Linked DNA regions of Arabidopsis thaliana. The protein of the gene in region 1 interacts with the protein of each later gene in a pairwise test. Each region holds a gene or a part of one and is shown on either strand. Other genes may lie near its edges.

Region 1 (10,380 bases):
GCGTAGAGTCAGATGTGAAGAGCCCTTTCTTCTGAGCCACGACCTTGAAGTAGTGAGTGTCGAATGTCAACGCACTGCCTGGGTCCATGTTCAGTGAGGTTCTGAAATCTGTAGGCGGGCACTTTCTCTTCAATTCCCTCACGTAGCTAGGGTTCATGGATGGGTCAGAATCGCCCTTTCCTGTGAAGTTGTAGAGACGACTGTTGACGAGAGCGCAACTAGAGATTCCAATGGTGTGACCCCCTACTCAAGAAACCATTTTTGTTCAGCTTTCAAATTGATAACTCTTTTGAGAATTGCACATCATAAGGTGCCAGCTGCAGACATACCTGAGAGAACCACAAGGTCTTTAGCGTTAAGACCCTTGTTGGCAAAGTTCTTCTTCAGCGTCTTTATGTCGGCGAAAGGAGATGGTAAATTTAGCAATGCATCGTTCAATTTCGAGATGCGTCCATCCCTGCGGCCCAATGGAACCGGCCACCATGGTCCCCCGATCTGTTCAAAGACAATTAATAAGTTATATACATACTATAGTCTTCAGTTTTGGAATGACAAAATCACTAGTCCATTGCGAAAATGGAATGTTACCACTGCCACGGCATCTCTGGCGACCAAGGCAAGAACATCAGCGCAAGAAATGAGATTAGGACACTTCCTCTCCAGCGCTGTCTTGGCCGCATCCACCACTTCATAACCTTTCAGGGTCAGGTTGGGGACAGCGTCTCTTTCCGCATCATTCTTTGCAGATTTCAGAAGAACGGAACCATCACATCCCTACATGAATCATTACAAAAGAGTGTTAGGACTAGCTAGTTTTTTCATATCCCTTGGTTAACAGTCTCGAACAAGTGAACCAAGCTTACTCTGACGAAACAATCATGGAAATGCATCCTTAGAAGTTTAGCGGCAAGGGTTTTCTGGCGAGAAACATATTGTACTGTGACACCACGAACAATTTCCTCTGCCTTGGGACACTTAGACCGGTAGTAGTCGAGGTCAAGCAACTGTGGAATGGCGACAGAAACTCCAACCACGCTAAGAAGAACCACAAGGGCGAGAATGTTCTTGATCGCCATTACCGTCTCTCTCTCCTTTCTTCGTTGAGTGTTTGCCAAGTAAGGTGAGAACGAGCTTTGGAGATGAAGATGAAGGAGACATTCTCAGGCCTTTTATAGATCACCCAGCGGCTTTGAAATAGTCCATGGAGAAATGCCAAACAAGATTTAGATAATCCCATTTGCATTTTTCCTCTGTTTCTTAATGAGGGTTGAAATACAAGAGGAGCTCGAGGAGGACATTGCATGGCCTCCACTATCTTCTTGATCTCTGCTGGTGCTGCAATTAAATATATTAAATTTCCACAATTAGAAGAAATCGAAATCATGCAACGATTAAGAAAGCTTCAAATCATCTTTTGCGCTTTGAAAAGCTATTGACTTTGGAGAAGATGTAGTTTGGGGAATTTTTTTATTAGTCCTTAGCTCTCAAAAGTTAAAAACTATAATAAACTGTTATAGTTTGTGGAATCCACGTTCCTGCATTCTCAATGTAAACTATCCAAGTTGCTCAATTCAGTGATTGGATATTACAATATACGGCTAGTTTCTTGTGAAACAAGTCGTCCTATAGACTAATGCAAAACAAAACAAAAAAATCAATCATTTTCCTTAACTAACTTTCCACTCTCGGAGAATGAGACTTTCGGCCTTGCCATTCTCGTTGGGGATAAAATATATAATGGGCCAAAAGTTTACTTCCGTCTTATGGCCCATATACGAAGCCCAGAAACAAAAAAAAACTACGATCTTGAATTTATTACAAAAGCATCCATTTTTTCAACAGAAGAATTCCATTTTGAATCTCAGATTTGATCATATTGGCAGAAAAAACACTAATTGAAATAAACTAAAAGTTTGACAAAAAAAAGAAATAAACTAAAAATAAATATTTGAGACTTACGAGGATGAAACAAACTTAAAATGTGAATAGTATTGTAGCAATTCTTTTTTGAAATAATTAACTTTTAGTGATGTAGCAGGAAAAAAGAAAAAACTAAAAAAAAAAAAAAAAAAAAAAGAAAAAACTAAAATGTTAGGCGTTGAATTACTAGTTTTTTTTAGTAGGAGAGTACGAAGAAGGAAGAGGAGGTTAAAGTGCAAGAGAGGCATGAGAGCAGTAAATGGCCTAAAGCCCATGCAGCCTCTGTGTACACATTTAATGCGTCGAAACTATTCGCCACCCTATCGCATACGTACGTACGTATAACTCCATCTATATATCTGTACCTACATATATACAGTAAAAATCAGAAATAAGTTGGGTTATTGTTTTTTTATATATAGTTATTTTAAAGAATCTAGGTAAAGTATAAACTTACTGAAAAGAAAAACTTGAGTGTTAAAGCTATAGCTATAAGGACTTTAAAAAAAAAAACAAAGCTTAAGAACTAGGTAATTAAATACGCAGTATATTTCTCTATATATTCGCGTGATAAATTAAGATGAATGCATGGCTTTTACAAATTATCACCTTTTTAATGGGTGATCCGTATTTTAAATAGCTTAATTGCACGTTATAGTTATAAATGCTTGGGCCACAAAGTAATTAATATTTCTAGGCATGTAAAATGAAGTCTTACTGTGAAAAAAGTGATATTTCATTGACTTCCTTAAATTGAAAAAACAATTGTTTCGTAAACAAAACTCAAAATTAAGGTGATGATTTTTAGATTTTCTTCTTTTAAATGAAATAAAATAAATACATCACTCAATCAACTTCTGTCTGACTAACAATAATACAACCTAAACTTCTATAATATTTAAGAAAATGCCATGTGGAAGAAGAATCATGAAATTTTCCTTCTTTACAATTAAATTTATAACAAAGATATGAAATAATAATAAAATAAAATAGTTAAAAATATAATAGTCATATTTTTTGAAAGTAAAAATTAAATTTATATCTCATAAAGATAAATATTAACTATAACAAGTCATTGAATTTTAGTTAAAAAACTATATAATTTTTTTCCATATTATAAATAATCTAAGAGTATTAAAATTTCAGAAAATTACTTTTAAAATTGTATCCTTGACAAATGGGGACTATTGTCTAACTTTTTCTGTAAATGGAGAACTGTATTAAAGCAAATTTCAATATAGTTAAATCTTTTTTTAATATAGTTAATTTTGTTAAGTGGTGATTTATTGCATATGCATAAGTTATGAATAATGCTAATGATTTTTTAAAAATAACTACATATCTAATAGATAAATGTAAGTCTCATAGGCTCATAGACCGTTAGCCGTCATTCCTCACCACATTATAATATTTTAAATAAATAAAAAATAAAATTATTTTAGGTTGACATTGTATATAAGATGAAAAACAACACATAATTTTGTAACATAAATAAAATAAATTGTAACATATCTCTCTCTCTCTATATATATATAAGCGTGTAGGATAATTAAGTGTCCCTCTCGCACCATTTAATTTCATTGCACCCTCTCAATTCTCTCTGTCATTACTCTCTCATCTCTCTTCCTCCAAGATTTGCACCTACCTTTCAAACCTTTTGCTCGCCAACAAAACCGCGCTTCACAAAACCATCAGCGGTTTTCCGAGAAACAAATCTCAGACCAGACACCGCTCTACTCTTCTCTCTCTCTCCCTCTAGGGTTTCGTCGCTTCTTCCTATATCCCAGTGTATGTCTCGAAAACCTCATCATTTCTGCTGTTTTCTTTATTTTATCCATTAATTCATGTACACAAATTTATTTGTTTAAAGTATCATTGGATCCATTACACTTCAGTTTTCTTAGCATCTTTATAAAACTCTCACTTTCATGATGTTTTTTTTTTATAATTTAATATATCCTGTATGTTGAATTTTCAGTTAGTCATCTATATTTTGTCTTAAATTTTGCCTTCTTTAGCATTAATTAATTGATTTCTTGCCTCTAATATCTTTCATTCCTCTCCTAATTTGCTTTCTGACTTTCTGATTTATTGTATTCTTCTTTAAATAATCTTATCAATTTCTGCATAGTCAGAGATGAAACCTTCAAGAAAACAATAAAGAGGAAAGATTAAAGGTTAGTATTCCCTTGCCTACCAAAAAAAACAGAAAGGTTTGTATTCTCTTCGTATATCCTTATTTTCATTATACGTTTGGTTTTATATATAAACACGTGTATATACTTTATAGTAGTAGTATACATTTACATATTAATGTGTGTAATAAAAACGTTTAAATACGATGATGATGATAAGAAATAGCTGGAAAAAATTAATACATCACCCAGGCCTTATGTCACGTTGGTTGTAAGTTGTATAATAACTATATGTTGGTCCGTCGCACAGGTGCACAGATATAATACTATTTTTTTCATTTCAATTTTTTTTTCTTTCTTAATCGCCAAATAGTAGTTTACACTTTTTCCTGAAGAGTTTTTATTTTTTGAAAATCTACTAATGATTATATTTAATTAAATTTTGTTTTGTTCTCACGAAAATATTGTTTTTTTAATAAACAGGATAGAGTTGGGAATTTATTTGTACCTACTTTTTCCCATTTTATTTGCTTTGAACAAATGAGTCCAACATTTCTCTTTTCGTCTTCTCTTTCCTATCCCATCTAAATCAAAACTGATCAAAATACCTCGAAATTTTAAATTAAATCACCATCCATCAAAGCTATTATAGTGTAGAAATTTTAAAGTTTTTTCTTTGGACAACAATTGATTTCCATCTACACTACATATGATATGACTCTTGAATCAATCATAGTTTTTATTTCAGTCTGCTGATTAGTTTTTTTCTTTTCTTTTAAAAGGGTAAAAAATCGGTAGTTTCGAATAATTTTGAGTATGTGAAAATTCATTATTTTTGGGTTGGTTATTCAATAACAAATTAATTTGTGATTGTGATGTCTTTTTTATGCAAGGCTCTTTTTTCTTGCTTTCAATTAGTGGGTCCTTTGTTTCCTACAATCATCTCCAATTCTTCTGTTTGCTTATATCATTTTGTATGATCTTCAAGAAGAAAGATAAACGACTCCGAAGAAAGATTTAAGTTATTGTTGTTCATACAAAAAGAAGGTTGTAAAGTTGTTGACGTGGACAAAAGTATTGCCATATTTTTCCAGCCTCGAAGAAATTTCCCTTCTTCTTCAAACCCTAAATTTTGACAAAACTCTCTACTTTTTTTTGCTTCTAGGGTTTGCTTTCAGTTTCCGGAGTATAAGAAAAGATGTTCGAGCCAAATATGCTGCTTGCGGCTATGAACAACGCAGACAGCAATAACCACAACTACAACCATGAAGACAACAATAATGAAGGATTTCTTCGGGACGATGAATTCGACAGTCCGAATACTAAATCGGGAAGTGAGAATCAAGAAGGAGGATCAGGAAACGACCAAGATCCTCTTCATCCTAACAAGAAGAAACGATATCATCGACACACCCAACTTCAGATCCAGGAGATGGAAGCGTATGTGTTTAACTTACTCACTTACTTCAATTTTCTTGTGTGTTTTTTGACAATTCTTTTGTTTTGGTTGTTAAATAGGTTCTTCAAAGAGTGTCCTCACCCAGATGACAAGCAAAGGAAACAGCTAAGCCGTGAATTGAATTTGGAACCTCTTCAGGTCAAATTCTGGTTCCAAAACAAACGTACCCAAATGAAGGTATACTTTTTATATTATGAACATATATACATTAGTTAATGGATCTATATATATTAGAGAAAATATATATACTTGTTAATTAAATTGTTATTTCATTCATATTAAGTCTTGTATATATACATTGAAGGGCTTATCTTTATACTTAAGAACATTTTGGGTGGCTGGTGTTTTCTTTCAGAATGAATTCATTGACTTTTGGCAGATTTTAGATCTAGTTGAGACACTTTGACTTAAAATTTCTTACTTATTTTTTTTTTCAATTGAAAAGTTGTTCCTTTGGCAGAACTATATATTTGGCGGATCAAGCTATAGAAAATTGTTTGGTTGTAACAACATTGCCTATTTATTATCTTAGTTAGAGCCATATATAATCTATAGATTGAAACGTTTTGGACACATATGCTTACGTTATGCAAATACGGTGAAACACATAACGTGTACACGAGTGTTTTATTTGAAACATACACTTTTCCTCTTTTTAAGTAAAATCCTTTGTTCCTTCGTTTTACCCAAATTAGAAATAAATCACTTGTATAAAACTTTAGAGATAACCGGAATATAAGTTTTATTTGCGCAGAATCATCACGAGCGGCATGAGAACTCACATCTTCGGGCGGAGAACGAAAAGCTTCGAAACGACAACCTAAGATATCGAGAGGCTCTTGCAAATGCTTCGTGTCCTAATTGTGGTGGTCCAACAGCTATCGGAGAAATGTCATTCGACGAACACCAACTCCGTCTCGAAAATGCTCGATTAAGGGAAGAGGTATGAGAATCAACTATTTTAAATGTTCAAATAATGTTAAGAGTTTTACACTTAAATGTTGTCAAGAAGATAAAATAAAAAATTAGAATTTGTTTTTATACCACTAATGTTATATCGCTTTCACAATAATCATTTCTTTCTTCATAAAATAAAAACTTTTATAGATTTGTATTGAAATTAGAGAATTTAAACATTTTTTTTTCATTGAAGAATAGAAAAAATTATGATATTAAATTGAGATACTAAAACGATATTTTTGGAACTGTAAGGAGTAGTAGTACATAATAACAACATTACTCAACGTTTCTTCTTGTGACCAAACTTTGAAAACCACAAGGATCAATAATCTTTCTTATTTGTCTGTTTTAGATCGACCGTATATCCGCAATCGCAGCTAAATACGTAGGCAAGCCAGTCTCAAACTATCCACTTATGTCTCCTCCTCCTCTTCCTCCACGTCCACTAGAACTCGCCATGGGAAATATTGGAGGAGAAGCTTATGGAAACAATCCAAACGATCTCCTTAAGTCCATCACTGCACCAACAGAATCTGACAAACCTGTCATCATCGACTTATCCGTGGCTGCAATGGAAGAGCTCATGAGGATGGTTCAAGTAGACGAGCCTCTGTGGAAGAGTTTGGTTTTAGACGAAGAAGAATATGCAAGGACCTTTCCTAGAGGGATCGGACCTAGACCGGCTGGATATAGATCAGAAGCTTCGCGAGAAAGCGCGGTTGTGATCATGAATCATGTTAACATCGTTGAGATTCTCATGGATGTGGTAATTAACATTTTCATTTTACTTAAAAGCAATCTTCTCTGTTTAGTTTCAACAACATTGATATGATGTTGCAGAATCAATGGTCGACGATTTTCGCGGGGATGGTTTCTAGAGCAATGACATTAGCGGTTTTATCGACAGGAGTTGCAGGAAACTATAATGGAGCTCTTCAAGTGGTAATTTTTTTTGCTTTTATTCTGTAAAAATTAAATTTCAAACTGAAATAACCACTCTGTTTTGCTTGCAGATGAGTGCAGAGTTTCAAGTTCCATCTCCATTAGTCCCAACACGTGAAACCTATTTCGCACGTTACTGTAAACAACAAGGAGATGGTTCGTGGGCGGTTGTCGATATTTCGTTGGATAGTCTCCAACCAAATCCCCCGGCTAGATGCAGGCGGCGAGCTTCAGGATGTTTGATTCAAGAATTGCCAAATGGATATTCTAAGGTAATATAATAAAAACATTAGGTTATACAAAATGTTTACTTAAGTAGAGAGAATTAATGTAACAGGTGACTTGGGTGGAGCATGTGGAAGTTGATGACAGAGGAGTTCATAACTTATACAAACACATGGTTAGTACTGGTCATGCCTTTGGTGCTAAACGCTGGGTAGCCATTCTTGACCGCCAATGCGAGCGGTTAGCTAGTGTCATGGCTACAAACATTTCCTCTGGAGAAGTTGGCGGTATAACCTACTGTTTGTTTCATAAACAGTTTTCATAATCAGAGTCAGAGTCAGAATCACAGTTCTATATTAATGAATATGCAGTGATAACCAACCAAGAAGGGAGGAGGAGTATGCTGAAATTGGCAGAGCGGATGGTTATAAGCTTTTGTGCAGGAGTGAGTGCTTCAACCGCTCACACGTGGACTACATTGTCCGGTACAGGAGCTGAAGATGTTAGAGTGATGACTAGGAAGAGTGTGGATGATCCAGGAAGGCCTCCTGGTATTGTTCTTAGTGCAGCCACTTCTTTTTGGATCCCTGTTCCTCCAAAGCGAGTCTTTGACTTCCTCAGAGACGAGAATTCAAGAAATGAGGTAACTATTTTAGTTACTACGCTCTCTTGTTCTGTTTTGGACAGAGTTTTGATGTTTTTGTGAGATTTTGCAGTGGGATATTCTGTCTAATGGAGGAGTTGTGCAAGAAATGGCACATATTGCTAACGGGAGGGATACCGGAAACTGTGTTTCTCTTCTTCGGGTAAATGTGAGTTACACCGGGTTTTGAACTATTGTTATAATCATCTGATCCTAGCTAAGAGTTTTCAATCTTTCTTTATGTCACAGAGTGCAAACTCTAGCCAGAGCAATATGCTGATCCTACAAGAGAGCTGCACTGATCCTACAGCTTCCTTTGTGATCTATGCTCCAGTCGATATTGTAGCTATGAACATAGTGCTTAATGGAGGTGATCCAGACTATGTGGCTCTGCTTCCATCAGGTTTTGCTATTCTTCCTGATGGTAATGCCAATAGTGGAGCCCCTGGAGGAGATGGAGGGTCGCTCTTGACTGTTGCTTTTCAGATTCTGGTTGACTCAGTTCCTACGGCTAAGCTGTCTCTTGGCTCTGTTGCAACTGTCAACAATCTAATAGCTTGCACTGTTGAGAGAATCAAAGCTTCAATGTCTTGTGAGACTGCTTGAAAACCATCCATTAGGTACTACTTTCACTAAATATATTCTTCTCGCTTTTACGCCATTATATGATGTAATCATATTTTTCTTCTTCTTTCTGCAGGAAATAACAAAATGGTGATGATGGAAAAAAGAGAGAGATTTCAGTTTGAGAAAAGCGGAGGAGTCAAGATCGAACCTCACAAGAGAATACCATTGAGTGTTTGTTAGTGTTAAGTTTTGGTCTGCTTATTTGATGAAACTAAGCAGTGAAAAACTTTTTACTTGAAAGTGAATATGTAGATGGTTTTACGAGGTTCGGGAATTTGACTTCCCCTGTCACATACTGAATTAGACAAAAACAAAAACTAGGTTAGAAAGAATGCTTTCGGATTTCTTTTTGTGTTACAGTTACTGTTTTTCTTTCCTTCTTGTGGTTAGATGGACCATCATCAGGAATTTGGAGTTTGTCTTTCTTTTGTATAAATATCTTATACAAGTATTTTGGTACTTTTGTAAGCTTATGTGAGTTTGTCTAGGGGAAAGCTCACACTTTTTTTTACCAGACAATGAGTGTCTCTCAAAAGGGCCATTGCCAAGTAAATTTACCTTTTGGTTCTGTTTAGGTTAAGTTCAACCAAGGAATTGTTGCTGAGTTAATACTTGAACAAAATTTCTAGAAGGGATAATGTTTTCACATTGAACATTCATACCATGTGATAAAGTAAAGTTTTCAAATGAGAAATTACCCTGGTTTATCCTCAAGCAAGCTTTCTCCTGGCTAAAACAGTTGATCTTTTGGTCGAACAAGTCACCAGACCACGAAGCATTGCCAGAATTGCAAGACCCACGAAAGGCAAATACGCCAATAGCAATTTGTTAGTCACCTTCTCTGAACCTATCATGTCTCCAAGTATAGCAGCCTAGAGATTCACAAAACACACAAAAACAAAACGTGAAAGAAACTTACAAACAAAGCGGTACAATCTAGCCTTCTCAGAGAAGCAGAGCAATCACATATACTAAAATATAGAACTCCAAAAGAATTTTCGTTTCCAAATCAAGAAAGTTGTAACATTTACAGATCAACAACATCAAAAACAAATATACATAGACTGAGCCAAATGAAAATGAAGAGAAAGAAGAAAATGTACCATGGAAGTGAGGAAAGAAGCTCCATACAACAAAGAAGTGGTACCAAACCACGACTTGCTGGTAAGAATGGCGTAGATGTTGACAATGGAGAGAGGCAATAGGAATATGATCTCATGCCAGACGAGTCCAACGAAGAAAAGAGGCTTCTCTATGAAGAGGTAATCGTTGAACTCAGAGCTGTACCAGTCTTTCAGATCGGTGAGGAGCTTCGGGTAGATTCCAGGAAATAGTATTTGACCGTTGAGAAGCGGTACATTGATAGCCATCAGTGCGAAGAAGAAAAACAGAGAGATGTTGATCAGCTTCCCCAAAGCTCCCATCTTTTTTTGCCTCTCTCCCGAGTCGTTGACCACAAAAATGAAACA
Region 2 (6,909 bases), on another chromosome or scaffold:
TACATGAACTAACTATCAGTTAAATCTCATATCCTTACTTCCAATCTTAATATTACTTGTTGTCTTTGTCGAGAGGGTCTCAATAGTGTGTACTGTTTGTGAAGGGACTACTAAATTACTAATCCATTAATACAATTTTAATTCTATCATTAACTAGGCTTTAACACTGTACTAAGTTTGTTGCAGTTTCTTTCTATCACTTGCGTGGCTTGTTTCTTGCCTTAAGTTGGCTAATAGTAATTGCTTATGCTTGGTCTACTGTGATTAAGATGAAAGTTGTCTTGTTTGCTTCCTTCCTCTTTGTTGACTTTTAGTTGGATGATTTGGTCATGTCTTGTTGATGAAGATAGTGAATGAAAAAGGTTGGACCATAACTTACTGAGAGATGTTTTGATTGAGAACAAGCAAGTTTGACTTGCTTTTTGCGATGTTAAATCATCTTCTGGCTTAGGTCAATGGACAAGAAATGTCTAGATCCAGTGACAGATTACAGTCTCTGCGTTTGTATGTCTTGAGTTCAGTAATTACTAAGCGAACTTAAAAGTGTTTTACATTGTTTTTCTACGAAACAGTTTCGAGGAAAAAGACTTGAAGCATTCATGCATGTACTTGTTGTTTACTGTTTTTTCCATGCGTGTGACTGACTTGTTGTTCTATTCGGTAGAACGAGCACACACAGAAGCAAAAGACTTGGAGCATTGATGTGAGAATTTAAGAAACTATAATTTCTGGTCCAAAAACTGATGATGAAGAAAAGCAAATGGTTATCAGTTGACTTTAAAAGCTTTGGCCCCTCTTCTTAGCTCACTCAATCTCAGCTACGTTACGTGGATGGATGTGATTTTGACAAGTGGCAACATCATCATCTATGAAGTTTATTGAGCACTGTTTGGACCATAAAAGATGAAATCAGCCAAGACAATTAAAGAGGTGTCCCCATTGTCCTTTACATCTTTTGCAGCCAGTATGATTTAGTTTTTCCAAAATTCAATTTTGTTTTTATTGGTACAATTCGTTGGGCCTTATGATTTTGTCTTATGGTTTATCTTTGTGTTGATGAAGATACTTTCTTCTCTTCCTAGAAGCTTGGAGCCCACCTCAATAAATCCTTTCTTTGCTACCATGGCACACACTAGGATACTCTTTTCTTTGTTTGGTCTGGTAAAATCTCTTTAATGTCACCGTCACCGCCATTACTCGTCTACCTTTCTTGGCAGCCAAAGTTACCTTTGTCGACAACATTTGATCACCTGTAAACTATCCAAACCATGTATGCCACTAAAATTTTGCATAATGGTCAGTAAGTAACAAATTATACAATTCTGATTATGGTCAAATTTTACCTTTTGTGGTATGCTACTAGTTAAAGGGTAACCAAATAGTGGTTTTTACCTCATCAAGTCGCTATTTTGATGGTTAAGTTTCTGTATACTTTTCATCATTCATTGTCTATGTTAGTTTATCTTTGTGAAAAAATAGATTTTGTGATGAATTGACACCAAGAACAGTGGAGCAGCCAGTGGGACTTTCATTAAATGGTAAAGGAACCAGACAAGGAAAGGTTTTTCACCTCCTTTCTTCTTGCTCCCACCACATTAGTGTTTCCTCTCTTCATTTATAAGGGTTCCAAATTTTTACAATGGTTGAAACTCAGTGTTTACCGCGGTCATAGTTTTCTGATACTTTAGAGACAGTGACTATTAGTGTAAAAATGTGTTACCATAAAACTATTGTTGCTTCCACAGGGAGAATTATACCATTTGCAGAGCAATGACTAATTGAATAAACAACAAGTCTAAGCTAATGACATCATTGACAACCAATTAATTACTTGCAACTACTTTGCATTTTCCCTTTTTTTTCCTTCTATAATCAGGGTTTATGAATCATTAAGACTTTTTGCTCTAAGTTACTCCAAATATCATTAATCCTCTGTGTCTGATTTGCTTTTCCCATTATAGTGCCAGCTTCCACTTCTTCACCGCCATCTAACAGCATTTACTATTGTGGAGTTTCTACAAAAAGCTAACTAAAATGTGAAACGAAGAAATCAATAAACACGTTTCCATAAAGTAGTGTAACTTATTAGGGTAACTAGTTGTAGGCAAGACCGTAAGTAAGACAAAACAATAAGAACTTTGTAGCTTTCAAGAAACCATCACTCAATAGGATACCTGTAATAAGAAACCTTGAGCATCTTTTAGACCCTAGTGTAAGATAATTGAGTTTTAGTGAGAAGTGTTTAAAACTTGTAACTAGCTTAAATGGGTTTAGTGCATTTGGGGACTGTCGACAGCGAACCTTGACGCGAGAAAAATGCGGGAAAGTAACAAGAATGGTTTAAATGTCAAAACTGTTAAAGGACCACAAAGTTTGTTTAAGGCTAATGAGAAAAACATTCTTCTCAATGACATTATCCTAAGTTGCAGGGTTATCAAAGTGAGAGCTATTGATAGATGTTGACCTTAAAATTTACTCCAGGTTCTGAAATTCACTGTTTTACTTTTGTGTTGAGAGGTACAATTTCAAGGTAAAGATGGCTACAGTAATTGGGTGCTCTGTTGAGTCTTTAAAAGGAAATCAAGGTGTTGGAGCCACAAAGGTAATAATATCTCTCGACCCCATCCAATTGAATGCCAATCCATGTCAGAGACCGGGAAAAGGGGCGCTTACAGAACCTAAACAGAGACATCTTCTGTTGTGTTTCTCCATCTATATATCAGAGTGACGCCAAGAGAGCAGCTTTTGTGATCATACTGATCATGATCATGTAATGACAACTATCTCATACACTAGGTTATTAAACCGTGGATCAGATTGAAGCTAGCTTTTTCTTCAGTAGATTAGACTAATAACTTGTGTGGGAAAACAATGGGCAGATCGCCATGTTGTGATAAGGCCGGGTTGAAGAAAGGGCCTTGGACTCCAGAAGAGGATCAGAAACTTTTGGCTTATATTGAAGAACATGGCCATGGAAGCTGGCGTTCTTTGCCTGAGAAAGCCGGTAACTTGCTCGCTCTTTTCTCTTCAACAAAACCACACATTTTCTTCTAGCTCTATTCAAAGCTTTGCTTCAAACTCCTTATAGGTCTCCAAAGGTGTGGAAAGAGTTGCAGACTCAGATGGACTAACTACCTAAGACCTGACATCAAGAGAGGCAAATTCACTGTACAAGAAGAACAAACCATCATTCAACTCCACGCTCTCCTCGGAAACAGGTGACTCAATCACAATCTCTGCTTTCAAACCAAATAACCAAGTGATTGCTTTGAAAGCAAATTGATCGTCGTCCTTTAAATGTCATAGGTGGTCAGCGATTGCAACTCATTTACCAAAGAGGACAGACAACGAGATCAAGAACTACTGGAACACACACTTGAAGAAACGTCTGATCAAAATGGGGATAGATCCAGTGACTCACAAGCACAAAAACGAGACTCTTTCGTCTTCCACAGGACAATCAAAGAACGCAGCCACGCTTAGTCATATGGCTCAATGGGAGAGTGCAAGACTCGAAGCTGAAGCAAGGCTAGCTAGAGAATCAAAGCTTCTCCATTTACAGCATTACCAAAACAATAACAACCTTAACAAATCAGCAGCTCCTCAACAACATTGCTTCACTCAAAAAACATCAACAAACTGGACTAAACCAAACCAAGGTAAGGGACACATCGTCTTAAAAAAAACTCTCAACTTTGATTGGTTTTGGTAACGTATCAATGGAAAATTGTGACAGGAAACGGAGACCAACAGCTTGAATCTCCGACATCGACGGTGACATTCTCTGAGAATCTTCTGATGCCTTTAGGAATCCCTACGGATAGCAGCAGAAATAGAAACAATAACAACAATGAGTCCTCGGCGATGATTGAATTGGCCGTATCTTCGTCAACCTCCTCCGATGTGAGTCTGGTCAAAGAACATGAACACGACTGGATTAGGCAGATCAACTGTGGTAGTGGAGGAATAGGAGAAGGATTCACGAGTCTATTGATCGGTGATTCGGTCGGCCGGGGTTTACCCACCGGGAAAAACGAAGCGACGGCGGGCGTGGGGAATGAGAGTGAGTATAACTACTATGAGGATAACAAGAATTACTGGAATAGCATTCTCAACTTGGTTGATTCTTCACCGTCCGATTCCGCGACGATGTTCTGATCTAAGGGTCTTCAACCAAACATTTTTAATTCTCAGATTGTTTTTTAAATGTCGATAGCTTTCCAATACTTTTTACTTATCTTTATTTTCTTTATAAACTATTATATATATATATATATATATATATATGGGATGAAAATGAGCTTAATTTTAGTATTCGTTTTTGCAGAATTGCATGTAGCAAACCTGCAAATCCAATTTACAATTTATATATTATGCTTTTATGTTGTTGGTATACAGTTTGTTAGAAAAATATTTTAAGTGATAACGTCGTTGTCATTTGGCCAAATACATAAACCATAATAAGGGATCCTCCTTCAAATCCTAATACGTTTTTGTTTTGGGAATGAGCTTTCTTGAAAAGCCTATCGGCACAAAGATCCTTTTTAGTATCATTGCTTTGTTCGAATTTAAATTACTAATTTTGGGAATAATTAGGCGCTTTAACTATTGAGTTATAGAAGTTGAGCTTTCCTTAATCTTATATTGATAAGATGTTTCAAAATATAGGATTGGAACCACTCCATAATTCTTTAAAGTTGCTGAGTGCAAGCAATTGAAGGAAATAGATATTCATATTACTTATCCACCGGTTGTGGAGTATTTTTGTCTAATTTTCAAATTTTTCTATATGAGAGATGTCTGAACGAAGAGGCTGTAATTATAACAACAACACGTTGACATGTCGAGTAAAAGAAAGAAAATTCAATGCTTGGTTGTTTCATGTCCTTTTCTTTATCATAAATTTATTTATATACAGTATGATCCATAGTAATAAAACACAGATATTACTAATAGATTCGAGTCCACTAAACTTAAGACATTTTTAACAAAAGGTTACATTACATCCATCGAATTTGATAGTAAATCCTTAATCGTTTACTTAATGTGCATGCAAATTTGGGCGTAATAGTAAGAAGGATATGGGCCTGACGTTTGGTACTATTGAATAAAGGCCCATATAAAGCCCAATAATTTGCTTTTCTGAGAAGACGGAGACAAAGGAGTCGCTCTGGTCTTTCATTATCGCGAATCTGAGATTTCGGAAGATTCGATCGATTTGGGGGTTTTAGGGTTTAATCTCAACTGCTAATCAATGGCGCCACCTCCAGGACTTTACTCCGGTACCAGCACTCTTGCTCTGGTAAACCCCGGATCAATTTCTCGATCTGTAGCCTTGACTTGTCGAATTTTGGATTTTGAAGAGTTCATCGAGTCTTTTCTTTTTGGTATCGATTTAGGTTGCTCGTGCTTCGGCTTTCGGGTTGGGTCTCATCTACGGCAACATCAAGCTCAAGGCTTTAAAGGTACATCTCTCTATCTTCCTTGTCTTGTTTTTATCAGATGAGAAATTATTTTCATTGGGTTTCATTTTGACATCCTAAATCTGACACTTGCCATTATAGCAGCAAATTCGAATGTTTATGGCTTTTGAATTATGATATTCTCGATCGAATCATGTGTGCCGTGACTATTAGTATGCTACTTTGCTCCTTTTGGTTTGGTCATCTATACACAAGTAACATGATTCTTTGACCCCAATGTTTCTGCCTGAGTTCTGATCTCCTATTCCACTGAATGATCATAGTTTTGACTTGATGTTTAGTAGAAGAGTTTGTCAATGATTTGCAACTTGATCACTGAAATGTAATTTCTTGCCTTTGTAAAGCATAAGTTTGCGATGTTGTGTCTGGTTTCCAAACCCTAAGAAAATCGGTATGAAAGTAGAGCCTATGTTGCTTCCTTTAGAGCATCCCAATCCTTATTCATTCAGATTGTGGAATCTAATTTTCTACTATGATGTGATTTGCTAATAAGTTATGATGATACCAACAAATGCTTCTTCTTCATATGCAGATAAAGAAGAATTCGCAGATTAAGGCCGAAGCAAAGGCTCATCACTAAACCAACTCTTCTTCTCCTTCTCAATAAGATTATGAAGCCAAGTGATTGTTATCTCTAAATGTAGTTCTTTTCCTCCTTAAGCTATATCTCCCTCGGTGACATTTTTTCCATCTTTCTGTTTTTTTAATCAAAATCTTCTGTCTGACAAAGCAATCGTATACCCGTTTTGGTTTAAACCTGAGTTCTTCTTTGGTACTTTCCTGCTATTCAATAAACACCATATTTTTATCATCTTAACCAGATAAATAATTTATAAAAAAAAAAAAAAAAAAAAAAGAATTTTTTTTGTTTTCAATTAAAATAAATAAATATCCGCCGTGGCGCAGAGTTAAAAGTAAGCAGTTGGCTATTCAGGACGACCAATGTGGTCACTGCTTGGTGGCAAGAACAAGTTGTGTTCGAGCTATACAAGGTCGTGGCTTCGAACATTGGTCACACTCACACATTCGCTGTCTCTCTTTCTCACGTAATAGAGGCATTCTTAAATGCCTTTTTCTGTTCTCTTTCATTCTCTACAATTTATTAAGTTATTTGAACTTATTGTAGAAACCTAAATGTTTGCACCCAAAATTAAAGGTTACAAGATGAGTATCTTCTTTGAGATTTTGAGAAGAGTTTCTCTATATGGCGTTCTATGTCTAGTTTGAATAATCAAATCATCATTTATATTCCCATCTTGAAACTTTAAAATCACTATCCATAGAATATTCAAAACCATACCATGAACACTACAATAATACAATACTATATAATATATTCATCATTATACTTTTAATGGGAGTCATGGGACACGCAGTAATCGGTTAATTTCATTGTGTTGGTGCTTTCTTCATTGGACGGATGAGA
Region 3 (6,257 bases), on another chromosome or scaffold:
ATGTACAAATGTTTTTAAAAGATTTTTAAAGAATTTACAAGAAGACCCTTTAAAAACTGTTGTAAATCTTTTTAAAACCTTTTAAAATCCTTTGTAAATCTTTTAAAATCCTTTGTAAATTTTTTTAAATCCTTTTAAAATCCCTTGTAAATCTTTTAAAATCTTTTAAAAATCTCTTGTAAATCTATTTCCCGCAAAAAAAATTTACAAGGATTTTTAATTTTTGGCTGATAAAAAAAATATTACGGAAAACAAATTTCGCGAGAAATTTTTTTTTGGAGGGAATTTATTTTTTTGCGGGAAAAAAGTTTGGCGGTATTGTTTTTTTTGGCGGGAAAAAAAAAATATGGCGGGAAAATTTCAGTTTCCAATTACATGTTACTATTAGATGAGGGTAATTTGGTCATTCTGTTCAAGGGAAAAGGTATTTTTAAAAAAGAACCACATATAAGGGTATTGTTGCAAAAGGGTAGTTTTGCAAATCTCCCAAGAATTAAATTCTTTTAATTATAGAATCTAATCCATAATCACTCTTTTATAAAAACGTAAACAATTATTTAACCACATTTAATTGAATTTAGTTGTAAAATCCAAACCCTAAGCATTCTTTTATAAACTCAAATTGACTTATAATCTCGTTTAATCGTAAAATCTAAATCCTAATCTTTTTTATAAATCTAAACAGAAATATAACATTTAATTACAAGATCTAAAACCTTAACTATCCCTTTAATTATAAAATCCTAACTGAAATATAAGATATAACCTTTAATTATAACCCTGAAACCCTAAAACCCTAACAGAAATATAATCTTTAATTATAAAATCTTAAACCTAAACCGACATATAAGTAATTATAATACGCTAATCAAACTCTTCTTTATAAACTCAAACTATTTACTTTGTTCATAATTAAAATAAAAAATAAACTAAAACCCTCCATTATAAACCTAAAAACCAATATATAAATTTGAAATATTAACTAATAAATCATAACCTATCTTTTATAAACTCAAACCAACATGCTCGACTAAATTACTCTTAGGAGATTCGAAGATATTTCTCTCAACAATAAAGAGTTTAAAATTAGTTCTATTTTATGGAGTTGAAGAAATGAAAATGAAGTTAATAATTTAAATATTTGATTCTGAACAATCTGATTTTTCTTTTAGCCAACTTATACTCTGTTTCTCAATAATGTATTTTCTAGGGAAAAAATTGTTCCAACTTTGTAATTAATCTACAGCCTTAGGAATTGCTCCAACTTTGTCAAATATTTTGATAGTTTGGCTTGGGAAGTCTTGTTTAGCACATGGCCAGGAAGCGGATAGCGAATTAGCGATATCCTATCATCACGCAATGAATAGGGACGAGCCAACGAAATTTAAAGAATTTTATCAGAATATCGCACAGTATGTTAAATTGCAAATTTGCCATGTCCAAACTCCGAACAATGTCTCTAAAGTTGACGACAAATTGAGTAACAAGACGACAATTTGGTTGACATTCTTCCAACCTCGAGTCTGAAAAGAGACAAGCTTGTGGCTAAAAGCTTGGTAATGGCAGAGCACAACGAGACAAAGATTAGTCTTTTCCTTTCAAGTAGAATCATCAATGTTGAAACTGAGCATTATTCAGAGAATTTATATCTATCCCCAGTCTATGAAGGGAAGCTGAGGATAGCCTTGCTCAGGAGGCGGTTTTAGCGATGGCGGAAGATCAAACCAACCTGTTCCTGGTCTCCCACTAACAAAATCACCTGTTTTAGACAATTCAAACTTCCAACATCAGATTTTCTATAAATGCTTAAATATTAGAGAACTTGAATGACGAAAAAACAAGAACGCATACGGTTTAAAGTACTTCCTTGGATGTGTTGTTGGTTAAGCATGTCAACACGAAGTTGTGTATTATTTGTGAATCCTGCATTTGAATTCAACAAGAGGATGATGTTTTAAGCAAATCTTGCGCATAGTAGAGACTTCTTTAAAGCTTTAAGTAGCCTAAAAGAGACCAAATCACTGAAGTCAAAAATCAACAGGTTTTGACCTAACCTGTGCTTCCTGTATTGTTGTTAGGATGGAAGTATCTGCAAGAATCTCCAAATGGGCAAAAATTCTGCAAAACCCATTAAGAAAGGAACAGACTTTACTTGGAAGATTACATACATACACACATATGCAATGAATTTTTTTGCAGAATCAAACAAAGCAATGTAAAATGTGTGATTCCACCAGAATATAAACGAAAAGGACAAGACTTTACACATCCAGAGATTGCTAGGAATGATGAACATAGCGAAACAAAATCAATCCGACGTACCGAGGTAATGAATCGATTGCAGAGACCTTTCGTCGCAAAATTGGAGACTTGTGGATTAACAAGATCTAAGAATTTCGTATTAAAAGAAACAGAGATGTTAAAAATCGTTCCTTTAAGAAACAGAGAGAAAAAAGAGAGAAGAGAGATACCTGAGGAAGAAGAACTGTACCAAAGGGCTTTAGCTCGAAGATGAGGTTTGCTTTGAAGATGGCGTTTTCTAGCGACTTGAGTGTCTTGAAACTCTTTCTCGCAATAATCACAGTAATATTTCCCCGACGGCATCTTCCGGCGATGACGACGACGACTCGTAGAATCAAAAAGTTTTGGCTTTTATTAGTTTTAGGCGCGTGAGGATACTTGTATTTGCTACAGTGACTTTTAGGGTCTTTGTTTGATGATGTTGCAGAGGAAGAAGAAGATACAAAAGCAGAAGTAGCAAACTCTTTATCTAGATAAAAAATCTTGGTGGGCTTTTACATTATGAACCAACCAACCATAGTAATAACTCTTTTTTTCTCTACTCATACAACAAACAAAGGGTGCATATCAGTTTGTGACATATTGATACATAGAGAGGTAATTTATAAGAAGTGTTTGTTGTGTTCATGCTACATTAAGAGGAAATCACAAACCGAGCCAAGGACACTGCTTCCTTGCATGCTCAGGTACTAACTTAGCTACCATCTCCAATGGTACACCTTTCAGCTCTGTTTCACAACAATTACAGGTATAGCTTTAGTAAGGTAAAACTTTGATGATTTTACAGGTAAGTTGGAGATAAACACCATTAGGAAAGGGAGATGTTGTACCGTGAGGCTTGAAGTTGAAAAGCGGTGGAAGGAAACGTCCATTAGGTAGACGTGCGTTTGGGTCTCTTAACTCATCAAAGAATGGGTGGACTAATGTGTCGAGCTGTGATCAGGTTTACGATTCAAGTAAAAGCAAGTCAGACAAAAGAAAAATAGGAAATGAAAGGACCATCGAGAAGATTCACAGAAGAATGTTGAATTTGTAAGTAATACTCACAGCGGCACTTCGTAGATTAGGAGAGTATTGAAGAAGTCTTGAGACCAAATCAACAGCTTCTGGAGGCATGCGTTTGTGGAAAATCTGTGAATATATTATGACGAGTAGATATTGTCACATTGACTGTAACTGCTACTGAATAACACATTGACAAGTTGATTTGATGAATATAAGTTTATTTCTACCTTGTGCCATGGATGAGCTTTAATCTGAGGGAATTTGAATTCCGTGTAGTTTGGGTTCATGCACTTGATTTCTTCTCTAGTAGGCGTTCCCAAGACCTACCCCAAAGCATAACAAAAAACATTACATCAAATCTTCTCTCAGTATTATTGAAAACAAGAACTTGTTATCAAAGTGAACAAGTGCAAAGCTTATACCTTGATAATCTCTACAAGTTGATCAACACCGCTCTCACCAGGGAACAAGGGCTGTCATGAGCAGAGAATAGAGTTTGTCAATCACAAAATTCCAGGTTAAGTAGAACAAAAATGTTTGAATAAGATTTAATGCATTACCTGTCCAAGCAATAGTTCAGCTAGAACACATCCTGCAGACCAGACATCAATGGCTGTCGTATACTCGGTTGCTCCAAAAATAAGTTCAGGTGCTCTGTAATACCTCGAGCAGATGTAGGAAATGTTTGGTTCTCCTTTTACCTGTTTTCAGATATTACAATGATCAACAAGATTGAATCTAACTTTTTCCAAGAAACAAAGTACCCGGAAGAGGTTTATCAAACTCACCAATACTTTTGCACTTCCAAAATCACATAGCTTTACTTGATGAGTGTGCGGATTTACCTGTTCCATTACAGGTGAAAAAAGTAGCATTAGACAATGAAGAAAAGTATATTCCCGGGTATACTGTGAGCTCCTGTTTATTTAACTTGTACATACCAACAAGTTTTGAGGTTTTATGTCACGATGACACACACCAATGCATCGGTGAATGTAAGATAAGGCTCTAAAAATCTGCCAAACATAGAGAAATCCGATAAGAGATCCAAAACATAACTCTAAATCTAACAGAAATGTAATAATTGATACCTGATAAGTGTAAAGTTTGACGTATATAAGAGGCATTCTCTGATTCAGTTTGTTGTAGTGTTTGATAACACGATGAACAGTTTCTGGAACGTACTCAAGAACAAGATTGAGGTAAAGCTCATCTTTTTCAGTGGTTGAGAAGAAACAATGTTTCAGAGACACAACATTAGGATGGTCAAGTAGCCTCATGGTTTGAAGCTCACGGTTCTTGTACCTCCTATCTTGTAAAACTTTCTTTATCGCAACAGTTTCTCCTGTCTCAAGACATTTCGCCTAAATCACATAAGAAAATACAGAGGAATCCAATTCAGTCAATTGATAGATACATGATGTAAAACGTGAGAGATGATAAGCTAACAAAAACTCACTTGGAACACAACACCAAAAGATCCGTGACCAACAACACGCTCAGCCATGTAGCTAATTGTCTGCATTGACATTGTAGAAAAATTAATAAAAACACGAAACACTAACCAATCAACTAACTTAAGAAGATTAAAAGAACAGTTTTTTGCAAAGAAGAAGAATCAAAAACCTGTTTTGGTTGGCCATTTCTACCACCAATAGTAGTCACAATGATATGTCCAGTCTCTGTTCCATTTCCATCTACCACTGTCGCTTCCATTTCCTAACAAACCACAATCCATTATTTAGATTCTCATGAAATACATACCAAAAACTATACTACAACGCATGGAAACATACTTTATCGTCACGAATTTTCATGTCATTCATTTCTTCAGGCAATTTATCAACACCAGTAGAGTCTCTTGCTCCAGGATTAGGAGCTATACCCACTGACGCCATTTTTCAGGCTACAAAACTCTTCAAACTTTCAAGCCTGCAACAAATAACAACAGAGATTAAAATCCAATGAGTAAAGTTTGTTGCTTTACTAATAACAAAACACACAAATTCAATTTCAATAAAGGAACAAAACACAATTCTTTCAAGCTTAACAATTGAACACTTCAAATAAGTAAAAAACAATTTAGAACACTAAAATTACGAAAAGGAAAGTTTTTTTTTAACGGGAACAAAAAAAATAATGATAAGCCCAAAAAAAGTTGCAAAATTTAAAAGACCCAAACATTAAAACCAAATTAGAGTTTGGTAGAGAAGAGAGAATCTGTCGATTTTAAAATGATGGGTTAAATTAAAATTCATGGTGAAGCAGATCTGAAGCTAAAACCCAGAAGAAGGGATGAAGAAAGAGAGAGATCTTTAAGACGTACCGATGAAAACGTAAAAATCTCAGATCGATGAAGAGAAGAATTAGGATATTAAAGAGAGAGAGATCCGTACGAGTAAGGATTTGTGGGTTTTAACAAAAAAAAAAAAAAGGATTTGTGGGTTTGATGATTATGAATCTCTCTCTCTAACTTTATTTATTTTTCCGGTGAGAGACGAATTATGAAATATTTTTACTTTATATTATTTTGTGATTCGTCTATAATCATCTCTCTCTATATAGCTGGCTTCTCGTGAAGACAATTTTATTATTACTATATTGTAAAAGAAAAAAAATTAAATCATTTTTTTTTTTTGGTAGGGTGGGGAAAAAAAATTAAATCATTGATAGGCAAATGGATAATTTCTTTGAAAGTGAAAAAGAAAAAATAATGGGACTCGTCGAAGTTAGTAAAGTTACATTGGTTTTAGTTTTTGTCCTCTTTTTGAGATTTGACCATTCAAACTTTTATATTTTCTTCCCAACACAACAAACCAAAAGAGATAAGGGTCATAGAAAATAATGCATAAAGAACTTATTTATTAGGATTATTGGTAACTAAAAGTGTTTTAGCTGTTAGTTGGAGCTGTAAACTTTAGCTGTACGAAAAATTAGTAAAATAAATTGAG
Region 4 (7,264 bases), about 12 Mb from region 1:
TTTCAGTGTATATATGCAAGAAGATTACAAAAAAAAAATCTATTGTCCAATGCATACAGTAAGTTTTATTGCATTCAAGTAACGAACAAATAAAATCATATTCAAATATACGTCATTGTATAACAAAAAGTATAAAACACACTTGAACATATCGATAATTGTAGTAATGCATTTATACATTTTAAAACAGCATCATCATCTAATTTTAAATATTTTTCTTCATATATTAGTTTATTTTCCAGTAACGTTTTCATAACCATAGATAATATGAGCATTTACCATCTGGCTAAAATTTTCACGGTAAATGTAGCTGTCGAGTAGCCTATTCACCAAGTTTTCTGAAAGATCTAAAACATGGTACTCACTTGCCAAATAAAAGGATAAGACTATTTCGTTTATACTATCAATTTCTTTTATAGTAATATTTCTGATTCATTAAGCAACCATCGACCAGTTCTAGCCCTCAACAGTAGTTCATCTACTACGAAGACATCAATGAGTTAACTACCATCTTAATCAAATGTTTACATCCGTGAAAATACCCCAACGCATATGACCACCCGTCATCCCATATAAATTTGTCTATATTATCTCGTTAGCTAAATTATTAGTGTTATAAAATCCAAGAAAAAAAATTATTATTATTATAAATCCAATAATTTTAGGATCTCACCCGTAATATACCGTCCCTTGAATGATTTTAAATTTATACTACTAATATAGATTTTAAATTTATCATATAAAGTATATGATTTCAAGTTTTTGTGTTTTTTTATTTAAATAAAGCAACGGCTTAAATGATGATAGATTTAGTTCTTTTTCTTGTATGTGTATATGACTTTTGTGTGAATATTTTAATTATTATAAATTAGTATTTTTATTGCTATAGAAAATGTTAATATACATATTTGCTATAAATCGGATTTATGCATATTTTGTGGAATAAAATTCACAGATTTTGTTTTTGAATATATATGGAAAGATTGTAATTTTCTTGTAAATACATGTGGCTTTTCTTGTAAATAAGTCCAAACTACAGAATTTATTTCACAAAATAACTGTAAAAATATATATATGTAAATATCATTATATATGTATACACTGTTATTTTGCGAGTTTTATTTTGCAAATTTGTATTATTCAACTATATTATTAAACGCAATGTTACCAATCAAACCCTAAATAATATCTTTGGTGCACACAACTCCAAAAAGACATAACTTGTTATGAGATTTATTATCATTAAAAGAACCCGTTTAGCAATTCATACAAGGTTCATATGTGATCCCAATTTACAAACACAAACGTCACACGAGCTAGTAACAAGATCCGACCCCGACAAATCGAGTCGGACTGTACCCGAGTGTTAGGTCCAAGTTTAGCTCCTTGTCCAGATGATCATATCTGTAATCACAATCAACACTTAACCGTAAATCCTCGTCCGTAGTCGTACCGCTCGTAGAAGCACAGTTTTCACAAGAAGTCTCCATCTTTAGTTTAACAGAACCGGGAAACGTGGACTTCAAATCTTCATTTCGGGGATGAAACGATGTCGTTTTAGGCTCGATGATCGAACCGTGAGTTTTTGGGTCAATACCACGGTTAAGAAGCTTCCTTTTTATATGAGTGTTCCAATAATTTTTAATCTCATTATCGGTTCTTCCCGGTAATTTCCCAGCAATCAAAGACCATCTGAAAAAAAGACATTCGAAATGTAAGGAACATTGGTTTAAAACTTGGTCATTTGGGTATATTAAACCGGTTATTTATTTGGTTTTGTCAAATTGGATCTGCTTGTATTTTTATTATTTTTTTCTCATAAGTGTTGCACTTTATTTAAAACCTTATGTTGTAAAGATACAACTGTGGAACCTTCCACTTACAAATCTTGACACATATTAAACCTTACAACATTGGATCAACTAAAATATAGTCATCCATATTACATAAAAAACCAACAAGTCTAACTTATAAGCAGAGGCCCATAAAGAAAGCCCAAACCAGGAAACAAAACCTTTAGAGGAAGTAAATTAAAGATTCCCTTCCACCACAAAGCCACGTGTGATGTTAACAAACAAAGTTGAAACACGTTGACTGAAGAAGCCTTAGTTGTCGCCATTCACCACCGTTCTGGTTAGCAACTCAGGGAACTCTAAAACCACCGGAAACCGCCGGAGCTTCAAGAGAAGTCCATTGATTTTTAATTAGAGAATCCACCAAACTTCATTAGCAAATTTGGAAAGGAAAGATCTCCCAAAGGCAATTGATTCCTGAAATCTAAAGAACATCGACGTAGAGTAAGCCGATGGAGCTTTCAGCAACACCTTAAAAAAGAACAAAAAAGCACTCGTCTCCATAGATCAGTTAGAGAAACAGCCACAATTGCAATAGTTTCAACCCATAAGCATAAAAAACCTTAATCCGCATCTTAATTTGTTCTCAAAAAATGAAATCGATAAGCGTGGAAAACAAATTAATCCCTTTAAACAAAGGAGGTTCAAGGAATTATATGCCAGATCTAACAATGAAACGCAAAAGAGCTCAATCAAACTGAATATAAAGAAATCGAGAGAAGAAAACATAAATCTAAACCGGAATCAATCCGGCCAAAAGGTAGACGAAACACCGAAGATAGGCGGTGAAACTCTAGACCTTAGCTAGCCTACCGCCGCTAAAGAAGCCAATGGAAGCCAAACGCAAACCGACCATCGTCGTAAAGAACCGAACAGTGTCAGAAGAACCACGACAATCAAACGTTGCCCTAAACATCGCCGGACAAAAGCCAGACATCCATGCTGGAAAAGCCATAAGATTCTGGACAGAGAACTGGCCAACAAACACTAAAGAAGCTATTGTTGCCGGAAAAAGAAGATCAGATGCTTTCTCTCTCTAAAAGATGCAAATGAGAGAAGAGAGAGAGAAGCCTACAAAACCTTCTTTTCCATTCAAAACGCATAGAATGCTATCTTCTCAATACTGGATCTGCTTGTATATAAACCAAATTGTACATTTATTCATTTTTATAAACTGAAGAGAAAACCATTTGATTAGTTTTCTCCAGTGTTTTCAAACCGGTTGAACCAGTTTGACTGTGAATCGAATAGCTATCCGATTTGAGTTATCACCAAAAACCGGTATTAAAAAGACTCACAACACCCGGTTTAAAATCTGATTAAACCAGTGAACCGGTTCGGACTAATGACCAAAACCCGATTCTTCATTTTTTTTAGTCTTTCACGGTTTAACCATTGGTTTTACTTTTTTACAGTAAAACTGGTTTGTTCATAAATCATAATTAAGAGAAAGGAAATTACTTGTTGCCAAATAAACTATGAAGTTTGACAATGATTTGCTCTTCACCATCAGTGAAATTTCCACGTTTAAGATCAGGACGAAGGTAATTAATCCATCTTAATCTACAACTTTTTCCACAACGCAACAACCCTAAAGAAAAGATAAAATCATCAGATCAAGAAACATAAAAATTTGAAAGAAAAAAAATCAAAACTTTGGAGAAATTTACCAACGGATTTAGGAAGAGAACGCCAAGAGCCTTCACCATGATTACGTATATAATCAATAAGACGTTGATCTTCTTCTTTAGTCCATGCTCCTTTGTTCATGTGAGCCTTTTCACAACATGGTGATCTTCCCATGATGATGGTTACATGTGTGGGTGATGAGACAAGAAGAGTGAGACTAGGATCTAAAGAGAGGTGTTATAAAAAGGAAGTGACTTTGACCAAGTTGGTGTATGTATCTTGTATTTTGTGGGTGAAAAAGATTTGGTAGGTTACCTTCTTTTTCTTTCTTTCCTTAGAGCATGTCCATTAAGGAGTCCTAATAATGGAATCCTTACATTTTTATACTAATAAATTTTGAATTTTTTTGAAATTAAAGTTCTTGTTGAATCCTAAACTTTTTTCTAGTCCATTAGTGAATCCTTAAGTGGGTTTCTTAAAAAAATAAATATGATAAATATTTACTTGACAAAATATGCTAATTTATTTATTTGACAAAGGGTTAAAGCTAATTCGAAGAAAAAAAAGAGCTTGGAAATGTAAAAACTATTCCAATAGTATTATATAACCTCATCATCTTCCTTCGTGAGTTTCCCTGCCAATTGAGAATATAGATGTTGCACTCTTGCAAGCTTCCTCACAGTTTTTGGGGCTTAACAACCACCCTGTCACATATACCCTGCAAAGCAGAAACTGCAGAACATCAAGATTGAACTTACGTTTAACTTTTCTCTTGTATTCTCTCGTACAATAGAGAACTGACTGCAACAGTTTAGCAAATCACATCAGTATGCATATCAGGAAATTTCAATGAAATGGATTCTATAATTGTTCAAAGCACTTTCAAGTAAAAATTGACCTGGTTAGTAAGTCACGCTCTATCTCCATATCACGACCCCTTGAAGCAGCTCTAGGCCTAGTTGCAGCCAAAGCTTCACTACAGACACCTAATCGATTCCTTTGAAAAAGTCTCTCAGGCTGTTTGCAAACATATTTATTAGAAACAAAAAACGAAGGTGCACATATCTTTATCAACATCACTTGTTATCACACAAAAATTTAGTGATATCTAAATTGAAACATTGGTTTAATCTAAAAATTAACTACTAAATAATATCCAGACACAAAACACACCTATAACTGTGCTAGCCAAGCAATGGGATCAATGTCGGTATCAGTAAATTATCCTGCTGTTACGAGCAAGCACAACCTAATTCCACGAGCCCGAAACATCAGTTAAACGAAACTTATAAAACTGTTTTAAGAATCGATACGAACACAATCTCTAAACTATCTTATTAAGAGACGACGCGTGATGATGATAATCACCAATCGTACGATCGGCCTCCGGAGTTTACAAGAGAAGAGAAAGAAAATTAATCGTGAAATGAAAAAATAAACAAGGCCAAAAGCGAGAAAAAAAATTGTTTTGTCAAACACAGAGCCAATAATATATGGCCACGTATGCGCCCCTTGAGATCAGAATAAACTCTAAAATTAGGTGCGAACCTAAGAGCATCTCCACTGGTGAGATACTACATCAATACCTCATAATATATTATTAATATTTTTATATTTAATTTAAGTAGAGAAACTTATACTAAAATTGTGCTTCCATTGGTGAGATACTCTTATAGGTATCTTATTAATATTAAAATATTATTATATTTTTCATATATTAAATTTAATATCTCTACAATATTTTTAAATATATCAATTATTATTTTTACAAATTATATTATTAAGTAGTTTTATTATTTTTAAAACCATAATTAAACATTACTTTACATATAAAACCATAATAAAAATTAAGTCTTTCACTTGGTAATGGATTACCACTTATGTAAGATAAGTAGAAATTAAAAGATTTATTGATGATTAAATTTTAAATACATATATCTGAAATCACAATTTTACATTAATCTGAAAATATTGCAAAATAAAAATAGAAAATTTTAAATGTTTGTTTTGTAATTAAAAAACTATTGTATTTATAACTAACACCAATTAAATAATATTAGTACATAATTTAAACATATACATAATAGAGCTTGTTATATAGATAATTTAATTTTATGAATTTTAAAAGTAAAAAAAATAAAAAAAAATAACAGACATATAAAGTATTTAATTGATGTTATAAAGTATAGATGATTGTATTTATAACAAAGAAAAGAAATTAATAACAAGGTGACATGTGGAAGAGAGAGAAAGTTTCTCTAAGTTTCTCATTTCATAAACGATCCTGAACAAAATTGATTAAAAAATTATTATTTTAATGTTTTTGATTTATTTTTATTTAGAATTTCTCAGTGAGAAACCACCAATGAAGATGGTCTAAGCTTTAATCACAATTTTTATTTATTTTTTGTTAAAATTATTTGAGGATTTCCCTTAAGAAACTGTTAAGGCCCTTCCAATGAACATGGTCTTAGATTTTATACTACTAAGAGAAAGGGTTTGGTGGGGATATTATTTTGATGGATTTGTTTTTTTGTTACAACTTACAAGTGATATGAATGAGTTATTTTATTACTAGTTATTTTTGGGTTGTTTTAATCTTCTAGAAGGAAAATGAGTGGTGGAGAAACACTGAAACAAGATCCAAATTGTATCCTACCTGCCTTTTTGGCACTATCTTTCTTTTTGTTTTCCTTTTCGAGAAGATTTTTTTCTTCGAGAAAAGAAAAATATTTTTTTTGTTCTTTCTTTGTTTAATTTAATTACACTCTCCATATACTTTCGCAATACTTTTACTTTACTATGAAACACAGCTACTATAAAACAGATTAAGGGTTTAAAAGTGGTAAGAACACTTGTCCATTTTTACAAAACAAAAACAAAGATGTAATTTGCTAAAAAGAATACTCAAAACAAATTCTTGCTAAAACAGTTGTATTTTGGGGTATGTGCAAATACAACTATACAGTCAAAACACCAAAATAAGACTAAAATCCTAAAGTTTCCCATACCCTATGAAAATTTCTTTAATAATTCTGACTGTAAGAATTTTCTAATAAGAATATGTAAACATATATATTATTTGCATCTTATATGAAGTAACTGAGTTCTGAAAAAAAAAAAAAAACTACAGATTAGAATGAAACAATTGTCCAATAGCCATTGCATAGATTATCAAAAGAGACCAAAATGTGCATAGTAGTATAGTACAATGGGACAGAAGGGAGAATGGTCACTAATGTTGAAAGAATGTTATGTACACACAAAAATTCGTATCAATAAAAAAATACTAATCTTAGATTCCCCCAACTTTTGAAGGGGAAAAATGCTTATACAGGACTCATGATACAACATATATATAGATAAGTTACATGTATGGTTGAAGTCATAAACAATAATTAACACTGAACAGCAGGAATCCGGTTTAAGCTGGATCGGTTTCAGGTTCCGGATCGGGTTCTTTACACATGCAGTCGGGCATGGGGAACGTGTAGAGTGATGCAGCGGGTTTCCTTAATTCGACTCCCTTTGCATCATTGTGTCTAAGCATATCTTGCATTTGTTTCTTGAAGTAGTCCCATCTACAAAAAAAAAAAACGTCCAAACCGAAGAAAATGCTTTAGAGGCAGAGGAATCTAAGAGCTTGATGTCAAGAGTTATAAAGAAATCAAGTACCTAATGCTCGGTTTATCTAAGAGCTGGACTAGTTTCCGCTTATCGGGTTTGATTGTCTCAGCGTGGCCTTTGTAAAGGTAGCGACGGTGACCTATCAAGAAATGTGG

Evidence for each region.
Region 2: the proteins of HDG2 (region 1) and MYB106 interact in a two-hybrid assay, tested with the Arabidopsis thaliana proteins (one large-scale study listed by BioGRID).
Region 3: the proteins of HDG2 (region 1) and AT5G26749 interact in a two-hybrid assay, tested with the Arabidopsis thaliana proteins (one large-scale study listed by BioGRID).
Region 4: the proteins of HDG2 (region 1) and HOS10 interact in a two-hybrid assay, tested with the Arabidopsis thaliana proteins (one large-scale study listed by BioGRID).

What each region holds. Positions count from the first base shown.
Region 1 is NC_003070.9:1,511,898-1,522,277, reverse strand, and holds HDG2 (homeodomain GLABROUS 2), read left to right. Parts: upstream 1-3,377; 5' UTR 3,378-3,708; intron 3,709-4,051; 5' UTR 4,052-4,097; exon of another isoform or gene 4,098-5,220; 5' UTR 5,221-5,253; coding exon 5,254-5,495; intron 5,496-5,573; coding exon 5,574-5,691; intron 5,692-6,268; coding exon 6,269-6,457; intron 6,458-6,826; coding exon 6,827-7,240; intron 7,241-7,314; coding exon 7,315-7,416; intron 7,417-7,487; coding exon 7,488-7,688; intron 7,689-7,715; exon of another isoform or gene 7,716-7,753; coding exon 7,754-7,928; exon of another isoform or gene 7,929-8,012; coding exon 8,013-8,284; exon of another isoform or gene 8,285-8,357; coding exon 8,358-8,453; coding exon of another isoform or gene 8,454-8,474; exon of another isoform or gene 8,475-8,533; coding exon 8,534-8,890; 3' UTR 8,891-8,904; exon of another isoform or gene 8,905-8,978; intron 8,979-8,984; 3' UTR 8,985-9,377; downstream 9,378-10,380. Other genes in the region: AT1G05240 (Peroxidase superfamily protein), read right to left, coding at 1-243, 330-495, 589-774, 864-1,076; AT1G05220 (Transmembrane protein 97, Putative), read right to left, coding at 9,622-9,783, 10,015-10,335. UniProt on the Arabidopsis thaliana protein: Probable transcription factor. Involved, together with PDF2, in the regulation of flower organs development by promoting the expression of APETALA 3 (AP3) in the epidermis and internal cell layers of developing flowers.
Region 2 is NC_003074.8:43,868-50,776, reverse strand, and holds MYB106 (myb domain protein 106), read left to right. Parts: upstream 1-2,480; 5' UTR 2,481-2,633; coding exon 2,634-2,770; exon of another isoform or gene 2,771-2,871; coding exon of another isoform or gene 2,872-2,879; coding exon 2,880-3,004; exon of another isoform or gene 3,005-3,088; coding exon 3,089-3,218; exon of another isoform or gene 3,219-3,306; coding exon 3,307-3,659; exon of another isoform or gene 3,660-3,736; coding exon 3,737-4,158; 3' UTR 4,159-4,381; downstream 4,382-6,909. Other genes in the region: AT3G01130 (ATP synthase E chain), read left to right, coding at 5,255-5,302, 5,400-5,543. UniProt on the Arabidopsis thaliana protein: Functions as a repressor of epidermal cell outgrowth and negatively regulate trichome branch formation. Acts both as a positive and a negative regulator of cellular outgrowth. Promotes both trichome expansion and branch formation.
Region 3 is NC_003076.8:9,396,636-9,402,892, forward strand, and holds AT5G26749 (C2H2 and C2HC zinc fingers superfamily protein), read right to left. Parts: upstream 2,633-6,257; 5' UTR 2,605-2,632; coding exon 2,472-2,604; intron 2,388-2,471; coding exon 2,266-2,387; intron 2,119-2,265; coding exon 2,055-2,118; intron 1,924-2,054; coding exon 1,852-1,923; intron 1,760-1,851; coding exon 1,650-1,759; 3' UTR 1,380-1,649; downstream 1-1,379. Other genes in the region: SK 11 (shaggy-related kinase 11), read right to left, coding at 2,947-3,029, 3,132-3,234, 3,349-3,432, 3,534-3,629, 3,729-3,779, 3,867-4,007, 4,095-4,151, 4,248-4,322 and 4 more.
Region 4 is NC_003070.9:13,074,318-13,081,581, reverse strand, and holds HOS10 (high response to osmotic stress 10), read right to left. Parts: upstream 3,693-7,264; 5' UTR 3,657-3,692; coding exon 3,524-3,656; intron 3,445-3,523; coding exon 3,315-3,444; intron 3,167-3,314; exon of another isoform or gene 2,809-3,166; coding exon of another isoform or gene 2,653-2,808; intron 2,278-2,652; coding exon of another isoform or gene 2,201-2,277; exon of another isoform or gene 1,809-2,200; intron 1,693-1,808; coding exon 1,317-1,692; downstream 1-1,316. Other genes in the region: AT1G35516 (myb-like transcription factor family protein), read right to left, coding at 2,201-2,277, 2,667-2,808; AT1G35510 (O-fucosyltransferase family protein), read right to left, coding at 6,907-7,063, 7,158-7,264. UniProt on the Arabidopsis thaliana protein: Transcription activator.